Canis lupus familiaris: one gene and its partners. The protein of the gene in region 3 interacts with the protein of the main gene of each other region in a biochemical or structural test. Links are inferred from orthologs where the notes say so. Each region holds a gene or a part of one and is shown on either strand. Other genes may lie near its edges.

Region 1 (3,545 bases), on a different chromosome or scaffold from region 3:
GGGGTCTGCCCCTGGCCCCTGTGGCCCCGCGGAGGATGAGCCCAGGCACCCGGGGCTCCTCTTTGCCTCCAGTCGGTGGGGTGGGGCTGGGGAGGGCGCAGGCACAGGCGTGGCGCTGGGGCACTGGTCGGAGCCGCGCACCCCCAAGACCCAGGTGTGGGGCTGGGAGCTGCCTGCGTTCCGGGGGGCTCAGGACCGTTGGCCCGAGGACGTGAAGCTGCATGGGGACCGAGCGGGTGCTGCCACCCGAGGGAACAGGGCTCTCTGGCCACTGCACCGAAGACCATGTCTCTGGGTTTTGTGTCCGTCATCCCAGGATCACAGGGTCCTGAACCCACTTCCGCAGCTGTGTGCAGGGGTAGGGGCTTGGGCCACACCGTGTCCCAGAGGCGCCACATCCTTTCCATGGGGGGATGTGCATCTGGGGGGCCGGGCCAGGAGAGCCCACAACTGCAGCCAGGGGTCCTCTGGGCGGGGTGCGGTCCCCAGGCAGGGTGGGCGCAAGCCGAGAGGCCTGTGTGCTGATTCACGTGCTGCTGTTTTTGTGTCCTCCCAGATGCGACAAGGCGCCTTCCTGGTGAACACGGCCCGGGGCGGCCTGGTCGACGAGAAGGCCTTGGCCCAGGCCCTGAAGGAGGGGCGGATCCGGGGTGCCGCCCTGGACGTGCACGAATCTGAGCCCTTCAGGTGCCTCCTGGCAGCGCCCTGGGTGATTCCTGGATGCCACCTCTCCCAAACCCACCCTCGCCCGCGCTCACACCCGCTCGCAGTCTGCAGGCCCCAGGTCCCGTTCTTGGGCTTTGTGTCCAGCCCCACCAGGGCCCAGTGGGCAGGTGGCCAGTCCTGGAGGCGGGATGGCGAGGGCTCGGTCACGCGGTGCCTTGGGGCGCCGAGCCGTGTGGCCGCGTCTGCAGAGGCCTCGACCCAGAAGGGGCAGCGCTCGTCAGCCCTGCCGAGAGGGTCTGGGGCCTGGGCCCCGCAGCTCCAGGGACCAGCGCTCCGTGGCGGGGCCGGGGTGTGGCCACAGGCAGGGTCACGCTCCCTCCGCCCCAGCCTGACCGCTTTGTGCCATTTGTAGCTTTAGCCAGGGTCCCCTGAAGGACGCTCCCAACCTGATCTGCACCCCCCACGCGGCCTGGTACAGCGAGCAGGCGTCCATCGAGATGCGAGAGGAGGCGGCCCGGGAGATCCGGAGGGCCATCACAGGTGAGGTGGCCCCGAGCCTCCCTCAGAGGCCGTGAGATGGACCTGCCCCAGCAGGCGTCCCCCGGGGGGCTCCCCGCACAGCCCTCGAGCCCCCCGAGTCCCCCGAGGGTGTCCCACGCTGCCCACTCACGGTCACCCCGTGCCCTCACCCATGGGCCGGACGGCTGGCTGAGCTGGGGACCTGGGCTGGGCCTTGTCTGCTGCTCCCCGAGGTCCCCAGGGCTGGCAGACGTGGGGGGCCCCTGAGGGGCATCCCCTGGGCTGGGGAGTCTCGGAGCTGCGAGCTGCTATGTCCCGGGAGGAGAGGCGGAGGGGGAGCCCCGCTGCGGAACCGCAGCCCGTGTCTGCCACCGAGCTGCCACAGTGCTGGGGGCAGCCACATGACAGGCCCTTCTCTGTCCACCGTACATGCCAGGCCGCATCCCCGACAGCCTGAAAAACTGTGTCAACAAGGACCACCTGACCGCCGCCACCCACTGGGCCAGCATGGACCCCGGCGTAGTGCACCCTGAGCTCAACGGGGCCGCCTACAGGTGAGCGGGTGTGGAGGGGGCGGGGACACGGGGTCCCCTGGAAACGCGTGCTCGTGTGCGCCCCAGGGGACCAGGGGCCGGGCTGTGGGAGCCAGAGCCACCAGGCGTGAGGCGAAGAGCCCATGGAGCAGCAGGCCGGGGAGGAGTCGAGGCCTGGGGGGGTCCCTGGGCCGAGGCCACGGAAGGGACCCCGCCAGCCTCACGTGCCCTCTGTCCTCCCAGCAGGTACCCGCCGGGCGTGGTGGGCGTGGCCCCCAGCGGCATCCCCACTGCCGTCGAAGGCATCGTCCCCAGCGCCATGTCCCTGTCCCACGGCCTGCCCCCCGTGTCCCACCCGCCCCACGCCCCTTCTCCCGGCCAAACCGTCAAGCCCGAGGCAGATAGAGACCACGCGACCGACCAGTTGTAGCCCGGGCGGAGCTCGACGGCCTCGGCACGGGCAGGGCGGCGCCCTCGGAGCGGCGTGTGCAGAGGCGGCGCCTGCGGTGGCCCCGGCGCTGCAGAGACTGTCCAGGCGCCGGGCGGGGGAGGTGGCGCCGGCCTCCCCGCGTCCGCTGTAGTTGTCCCGTCCCGAGGGCCAGCCGCTGTCCTGTGTCCTTTGCGTCCTCGTTAAGCAAAAGAAGTTAGTAGTTAATTCTATCATGAATGTTCTCGTCTGTGTACAGTCTTTAGAACATTACAGAGGATTTGTTTGCTTAGCTGTCAACAGCAGGAGAGCCTGAGCGAACACTCAGCAGGCCGCGTCACACGGCGCCCCTCGTGTGGGACCGCGCCCCGGAACGAGGCAGTTGGCAAACTTCTCAGGACAACGAATCCTTCCCGTTTTTCTTTCTACGCCACTCAGTGCATTGTTTTTTCTACCTGCTTGTCTTATTTTTAGAATAATTTAGAAAAACAAAACAACGGCTGTTTTTCCTAATTTTGGCATGAATCCCCTTGTTCCAAACAAAGACGGCTTCGCAAAGTGGCTCCAAGAAGTGCGCGTCGCCCACAGCGCGCTCGGCCGTCGGCATCTGTCCTGGGGATGTGAGGGCGCAGCGTCCCGGCCTGCGCGGGTGCCGTCCTGCTGACGTGGTAGGCTAGCAATATTTTGGTTAAAATCATGTTTGTGACTGTAACCATTTGTATGAATTATTTTAAAGAAATAAAAATCCCAGAAAGAGCCGGCAGGCCCAGCGTCTGTTTCGTGGCTTTGCGGCCCCCCGTGGGTCTCTGTCCTGGCCCTGGTGGCCTCGGGGGCTGGAGCGGGCGGCCCTGGGCACCCGGGGCAGTGGTCCTGGGGGGGCCGGAGGCGGCGGGCCGTGTGGGTGCGGGCGGGAGCCGCGCTGTTTGTGGGGACCAGTGCACCCCACCCCCGCCCGCCTGGGGTCACGACCAGAGCGGGTGCCGCGGCCTGTGCAGGAGCGGGCTCCGGGACGCTGCGGGGATGCCGGCTTCACAGGGGTCCCTCCCTCGTGGCCACTCAGGGCTAAACCGGGGTGTCCTGTTCACAGTCCCCTGGACGCCCGTTGCACGCCCGCCCTGCACGGCCCACGGCATAGCTGGCCCGCCTCCTGCCCGCTCTGCGGGGAAAGCACGGTGAACGGTGACCGCTGAGGGGGCTCCTGGGGACACGCCTTGGCGTTGCCACACTCAGGGTCTGCAGGACAGGACTGCGGGTTGGGAGCCGCCGTCCTGCGGGGCTGGGGTCCCAGCCGAGCACCTGCCACTGGCGCCCGTCCTCCCAGATCTCCTCCCAGATCTCCGCACACGTCCGGAGCGCGGGGTTTGCCTCTGCGCTCAACTCTGGGACGTTCTCAGCCTGTC
Region 2 (3,054 bases), on a different chromosome or scaffold from region 3:
GGTTTAAAATAACCTATATTAGCACTACATTTAAACAAGATGAGTTTTCTCATACATTCAGAACCCAAGCAATAGCAACTATCCTTAAAGCTCAAAACTGATAACAGCTAACATCAGGTCAGACATGACTTACGTGTGAAGCTGAACCCAGAGTTAGTTTCAAGTTAAGATTTCACAAATTTTCCAAAACACGAACTTTGATCTTGGTCTTTGTGTCTTGAGAAAGGAAGACCAAGAATATTCAACTGTTTGCCCAGATCTTACCCTAACTAGGGCTATGAAGTCATATCTAAACAATTAAAGAGAACCACCACTGGTGTGTGAAAGCGTAAAAGCCTGATAGGGGTACCCTGTCTCGGTCTTTTCCAGCAAAAGACAACAATGAGGAAAATAATGAAGACGTTATTGTTATTTTCTTTAAAGCAAGACAGCACACACACACAAAAACACTAAACCAACTAATAACATTAGAAAAACAATTAAACGGCTAACCTAACTGCTAGTTTTCAAAAGTAAAATGACTAACAAGGATTTTTTAAAGGTAGGAAAAGACTTTTACCCATATTAACCATGGGAAAAAAGGTACTGAATTTTATTTCTAGAAAGTGAAAGTAAATGATAGAACCACTTAATAAAAATTTAAGTCTCATATACAAAAGAGTATCATTAATTTTATTTCTAAAATCAATGCCAATGTTTCTTTTTCTCAAAAACTACTTGTGTACCTGACTGTTTCTCAAATGCCTCCCAGTTCTGGAGTTTTAAAATCAGGTGTTTTTGTCATAGTTGTCTATCTCAATTAACAACAACAACAACAACAACAAAAAACACAAAGCAAAAGTCTTCACATTTCCATTTCCATGACTTCACTCTTCCATTTTGTGTTCAGTGGTGGCAGCAGCAAAAAAAAAAAAAAAAAGAAAAGAAAAGAAAAACTAGAAAATTTATACAACAGCCATAGAAGAAGGCATTGCAATATTGCACCAACATCCTAAGTTCTGGCAAGTTTTGCCAGTGTAGAACTAACTTGTCTGTATCAGATATAGACTCTACTCAGGAGAAAATGGTATCAATTTGAATGATCCACTCCCCAGTTATTCTTGCTTAATTTTGTCAACTATGTGTTTTTCCTTCGAGTTTCAAGAATTGAAAGGTGCGCGGCTAATCCTAAAACACTTATCATAAATGCTTTTAAACAGTTATTCCTGAACCATTCTGAACTTTGAGGTTCCCATCCTTCATGCTAGTAGCTTTCAGTAAATAAAACAAAGGCTGAGGGCTTACATCCCCAGTGCGACTAAGTATTTTGTACTAAATAAACAAGTAGATATGACCAGTAAGATTATAATTCTGTTTCTTACCTCTAAAGTCAAAAATGAGCTCAAATTTTCCACGAGTTGCTACTTTCCATTCAATAACAGATGCAGCAGCCTTACTGAATGTAAAGAATGGGAGTTGCACTTACTTTTAAGGGGCCTTTATTTAGGAGTCTGGTATTACCTAAATTCTCTTTAAAAGTGCTTGCACGCTGCAGGGCCAGGGCTGCGTATACCAGTCCGATTCTCACTAAAAACAGGGTAACGTTATACAGACTGCAAAGAAAAACAATTTCAAAAAGAAGACATACATTGATAAGGAACACTAATGTTTACTTGTGAAAATAAAATATAAAATGTTAGTTTTCAGAAATCCATACATGTTTCAGGAATACAAGGAGCTCAGATATTACTGAATCAGTATGGACTGAAGATAGGCTACTTTGATACCAAATGAGGACTCCAGTTATTTTAACTTTCTAAAAATGTTAATACATGAAAAGACGTTACATCTAAAATTCAACAAGTATGGCAAACTGTGTGTGCAAGTGCACTAGCTTAAAAATATAGAATCCTAACCACGCATAAAAGGAGATGTGCCTTATATGTTCATAAGATGTTTGCAAGTATGGATATGCTTTCACTAACACAATGCAGATAAGAGAAGGCAGCTTAGAAATAGTGTTTTGAATATAAAAAAGTTACTTTTGTAGAAAATTTATATTTTTGCATTTTCAGCAAAAAGCCATGCAAAAAGGTCAAGAGTTTTAACCTTAAATAATAAAACCAAAAGGTCTAACAGACTGTAATACACTGAAATAAACGTTTCAAAAAGATTTCAGGTTGAGATAGGAACCAAAATTACACCCAGTGACACTTATCAGGTCTTCTCTTAGAAGATGCAGGACTCCTACGCTGACATCTGAAAGAAATGTTTTAAAGCATAAAATCAACTTCCCAGATAAGTGGATCACTCTATTCAACTGCTTCTGGAAGTAGTTTCAAGAGCTAGCGCTTAGAATGAACTTATTGCATGAGTTTGAGGCCACTGAAAAGAAAAATAAAATGATGCTAGCACAGAATGAAACATTTTTTACGCTATTAGACCAATGGCTTCGATAGTAAAACTGGTGAGGTTTTTCTTTATGTTTTTTTTAATTAACTACTTTGTCACAAATGAATTTTGTGTTTGGCTTTTTCGAAAGGGAGAAAGACGTCACTAGTTGCAGCGTCTGACCTCGTCCAGTATGTACTCCGGGAAATGCAGGTTGCACACCTGTAAACCATCCAGCTTGCAGGGCATCCGTGGGTACTCATCTTCCTTCCACTTGTTCTCTTCCGGGTCAAAAGTAAGAATGGAATCGCTGTAATGACCGTTGTAGCAAAGGCCTCCAAGAACCATTATCTGTTTGTCCAGCACAGTCACACCATGGCCACTTCTGCCAATTGGCATGGATGCTAAGATGGTCCACTGATCAGTCTCCGGGTTGTACACTTCTGTGGAAGGGCATCCCTGAGATTCAAAAGAGGCCCTCAAGATCACACAGACACCACCGAAGACATAAAGCTTGCCGTTGTAAGAGATCATCTTGTGAAAGCATCTCGCGTAATTCATCTTGCTCTTATTCTCCCAACAGTTGGTAACCACTTGCGTTCTTCTGGTCCGCTGTTCTATGGTCCCTTCTTTACTGGGGTCAAACACGCACACTTGTTTGGAGGTGGAAGATGAGGTGATCCC
Region 3 (3,653 bases):
CTCTCTCTCTCTGTATCTCTCATGAATAAATAAATAAAAATCTTTAAAAAAAAAAAAAAAAGGAATGCAGATTGGTACAGCTACTATGGAAAACAGTGTAGAGGTTCCAAAAAATTAAAAATAGAATTACCATATGATCCGATAATTCTACTACTGTGTATGAGAATACTAATTCAGGGGGTGCCTGAGTGGCTCGGTGGTTGAGCATCTGCCTTTGGCTCAGGGCATATCTCGAGTCTGGGGATTGAGTCCCACATCGGGCTCCCTGCACAGAGCCTGCTTCTCCCTCTGCCTGTGTCTCTGCCTCTCTCTCTCTCTCTCTCTCTCTGTGCCTCTCATGAATAAATAAATAAAATATTTTAAAAAAATTTTAAAAAGAGAATACTAATTCAGAAAGATATATATACCCCATATTTCATTGTAGCATTATTTACCGTAGCCAGGATATGAAAGCAACCCAAGTGTCCATAGATAAATCAATGAATAAACAAAAATGCGGTTATGTATATACAGTGTGATATTACTGAGTCATAGAAAAGAAAAATATCTTGCCATTTACAACAACATGGATGGACCTAGAGGGTATAATGCTAAGTGAAATAGAGAAAGACAGATACTGTATGATTTCCCTTACATGTGGAATTTAAGAAACAAACAGAAGAGACAAAACTAAAGCAGACTCTTAAATACATAGAACAAACTGATGGTTGCCAGAGGGGAGGTGGGGGAGTGGGAATCAGTGAACTAGATAAAGGGGATTAAGAGTACGCTTTCTTGATGAGCACTGAGAAGTGTATAGAACTATTGAATCACATTGTACATCTGAAACTAATATAACACTGGATGTTAATTATACTTGAGTAAGAAAGAATTTTCTACATGAAGAACAATACCCATTAGCAATCATTCTGCATTCCTCTTCCCTCTTTCCCAATCCCAGGCAACTAGCCTACCCTCTATCTCTATAGATTTGCCTATTGTGTTTTCATATGAACGGAATCATATATGATTTTTTGTGACTTTTCATTTTTTCACTACTATGAATGTTCATAGCAGAACATTGAGTGCAATCTTATGTAGATGTATATTTTCATCTTTTTTGAGTTATATATAGGAGTAAAATTGTTAGACCATATGCTAACTGTATTTAACCTTTTGAGGAACTGTTTTCCAGAGCATCTATGTCATTTTACATTCCCATCAGCAACACTTAAAGTTCCCATTTTTCTACATTTTCACCAATACTTGTTATTATCTTTTTTATTCTAGCCATACTTTGGGTATGAAGTGTTATCTCATTGTGGTTTTGATTTGCCTTTTCCTGACAGCTAATGCTGTTGAATGTCTTTCCATATGCTTATTGGCCATTTGTATATCTTCTTTGAGGATTGTCTGTTTAGATTCTTTGCTTATTTTCAGTTGGGGTATTTGTCTTATTATTGAGTTGTGAGAGTTCTTTTTATGTCCTGGATGCAGCCCCTTTAGCAAATAGAGGATTTGCAAATCTTTTTTCCCATTCTTTGGATCTCATAAGGTTTTAAAGTGATAAGAATGTTTAAAATCCATTTTTTCCATTTTAATTGTATTTTTTTCTCCTTATTGAAGATGGATCCTTTGAAAATATCCAGTGGAGCATAGATCCAGGAGCAGACCTCTCTCAATATAAAATGGATACTACTGTAGTAGATACAAAGGTAAGTTAGAAAGTAAAACCAAGGCCCATGTGGTTATTCTAGTAAGTTGTTAGTCATCCTTCTCCCCTAACTAACTCTGTGACGTTAAGATAATCACATATCTGCATTTATTTATTCCAAATAAAACCTGCATTTCTTTATTCAGAAAACTAAGAAATGAAAATGCTTATTCTTCTAACTTTATGATGTTTTTGAAAGGGTAATAATACTTTCTGACTTTAAAGGCCTTTGTTGAGACACCCAAGGGGCTCAGTAGGTTAAGCATCCGACTCTTGATTTCAGCTCAGGTCATGATCTCAGGGTTGTGAGATTGAGCTCTACATTAGGCTCCATGCTGGGCTTTGAACCTACTTAAGATTCTCTCCCTCTCCCTTTGCCCCTCTTCTCTCTCTGTCTCTGTCTCTGTCTCCCTTTCTCTCTCTCTCTCTCCCCCCCCTAAAAAAAATGAAAAAGAAAGGCCTTTGCTGAAAAATATTATAGTATTAAATAACGAAAAATGCTAATTACATATTTTAATAATTTTATACACACACATATATATTTTAAAGATTTTATTTATTTATTAGAGAGAGTGCGCGCACGCAAACTAGGAGGAGCAGAGGGACAAGCAGATTTCCCTGCTAAACAGGGAACCCGATACAGGGCTCAATCCCAGGACCCTGGAATCATGACCTGAGCAGTAGGCAGACACTTAATCAACTGAGCCAGCCACAGGCCCCTTAATAATTTTATATTTTATCAAAATAATTCATCATATGCCTTGATTAACTTTTAAAATAACATACCATAAAGAAAAAAATTATTTTCCCAGTTGGCTATTTTTTAAATACTGTATATTTCTCTAAAAATTAAAATTCCCAGGCTCCTGGGTGCTCAGTTAAATGTCCAACTCTAGATTTCAGCTCTGGTGATAATTTCAGGGTCATGAGTTAGGCCTCACATTGGCCTCATGCTGGGCATGGAGCCAGCTTAAGATTCTCTCTCTCCTCCATCTGCCCCTCCCCTGCTCTTAAAAAAAAAAAAAAAAAGATAAAATTCCTAGTGGAAATAACTCTTTTGGCTTGTTTTTAGGTTTTATATAGTTTGAAAAGTACTCTTTCACTTGGGAGCATATTAATGAAGTATTTAACTTGGTACAGTATGAAATTGTTGTTCTTTGTGTACACTGACATTCATTACTGTGAAGCCAACTGGAGAAGAAAGGGAGGAGAAGCCCAGGGAGGTCAGTGGTATGCATCTCTCCCTTCCTTGGCAGCAGTCCTTCTTTTTGTGGGCTTGAGAGAGGATACTTGTGTATTGAAGCTAAAATGTTTTACAGGCAATAAAACCTAAATCTATATATATTCCTAAAGAATAAAAATAAATATAACTTAATGCTATTGAAGTGTACACTTAAAATATGGTAAAAAAAAAAAAAAAAAAAAGGTCAATTTCATGCTGTGTATATTTTACCAGAATTTTTAAAAAGTAAATATAAGGCCATATGGGATAATTGTTAAAATTTTTGAATTTTTAAATATTTAGGATGGCAGTCAGTCAAGATTAGCAGGAGGAGAGACAGTGGACATGGACTGCACATTGGTTAGTGAAACTGTGCTTTTAAAAATGAAGAAGCAAGAGCAGAAGGGAGAGAAAAGTCCAAGTAAGATTTGATTTTTTTTTAATTTAATAAAAATGTAGAGGGAAGTTTATAGTCATACCATTGCACTGATGACCAGAAGTGACCTCTTCACCATAAACCAGGGGTTTTTTCTTGTTCTGATGAATAGATTTCTCTTAGTAAAGCTCAGTTTCAGTATTACAAGGGGAAAATATCTTTAGCCAAAATCTTTTTTTTCCAGAAAGAACTCGAATTGTCCAGGGCTCAGCAAACCACAACCAGCTGCCAGTTTTATAAACAAAGTTTTATTGGAACACAGGCTCACTTGTTTATGTATTGCCTGTGGCTGCATGCATGGT

What was found.
Region 1: the proteins of RBBP8 (region 3) and CTBP1 form a complex in vitro, tested with the Homo sapiens proteins (3 studies listed by BioGRID and IntAct). The link is inferred for Canis lupus familiaris from reciprocal best matches to the Homo sapiens genes RBBP8 and CTBP1.
Region 2: the proteins of RBBP8 (region 3) and KLHL15 form a complex in vitro, tested with the Homo sapiens proteins (2 studies listed by BioGRID, with this or other methods). The link is inferred for Canis lupus familiaris from reciprocal best matches to the Homo sapiens genes RBBP8 and KLHL15.

The regions. Positions count from the first base shown.
Region 1 is NC_049224.1:92,005,723-92,009,267, forward strand, and holds the end of CTBP1 (C-terminal-binding protein 1), read left to right. Parts: intron 1-556; coding exon 557-687; intron 688-1,078; coding exon 1,079-1,206; intron 1,207-1,621; coding exon 1,622-1,739; intron 1,740-1,961; coding exon 1,962-2,148; 3' UTR 2,149-2,903; downstream 2,904-3,545. UniProt on the Homo sapiens protein: Corepressor targeting diverse transcription regulators such as GLIS2 or BCL6. Has dehydrogenase activity. Involved in controlling the equilibrium between tubular and stacked structures in the Golgi complex.
Region 2 is NC_049260.1:19,701,036-19,704,089, forward strand, and holds the end of KLHL15 (kelch-like protein 15), read right to left. Parts: coding exon 2,536-3,054; 3' UTR 652-2,535; downstream 1-651. UniProt on the Homo sapiens protein: Substrate-specific adapter for CUL3 E3 ubiquitin-protein ligase complex.
Region 3 is NC_049228.1:65,288,093-65,291,745, reverse strand, and holds part of RBBP8 (DNA endonuclease RBBP8), read left to right. Parts: intron 1-1,605; coding exon 1,606-1,694; intron 1,695-3,218; coding exon 3,219-3,336; intron 3,337-3,653. UniProt on the Homo sapiens protein: Endonuclease that cooperates with the MRE11-RAD50-NBN (MRN) complex in DNA-end resection, the first step of double-strand break (DSB) repair through the homologous recombination (HR) pathway.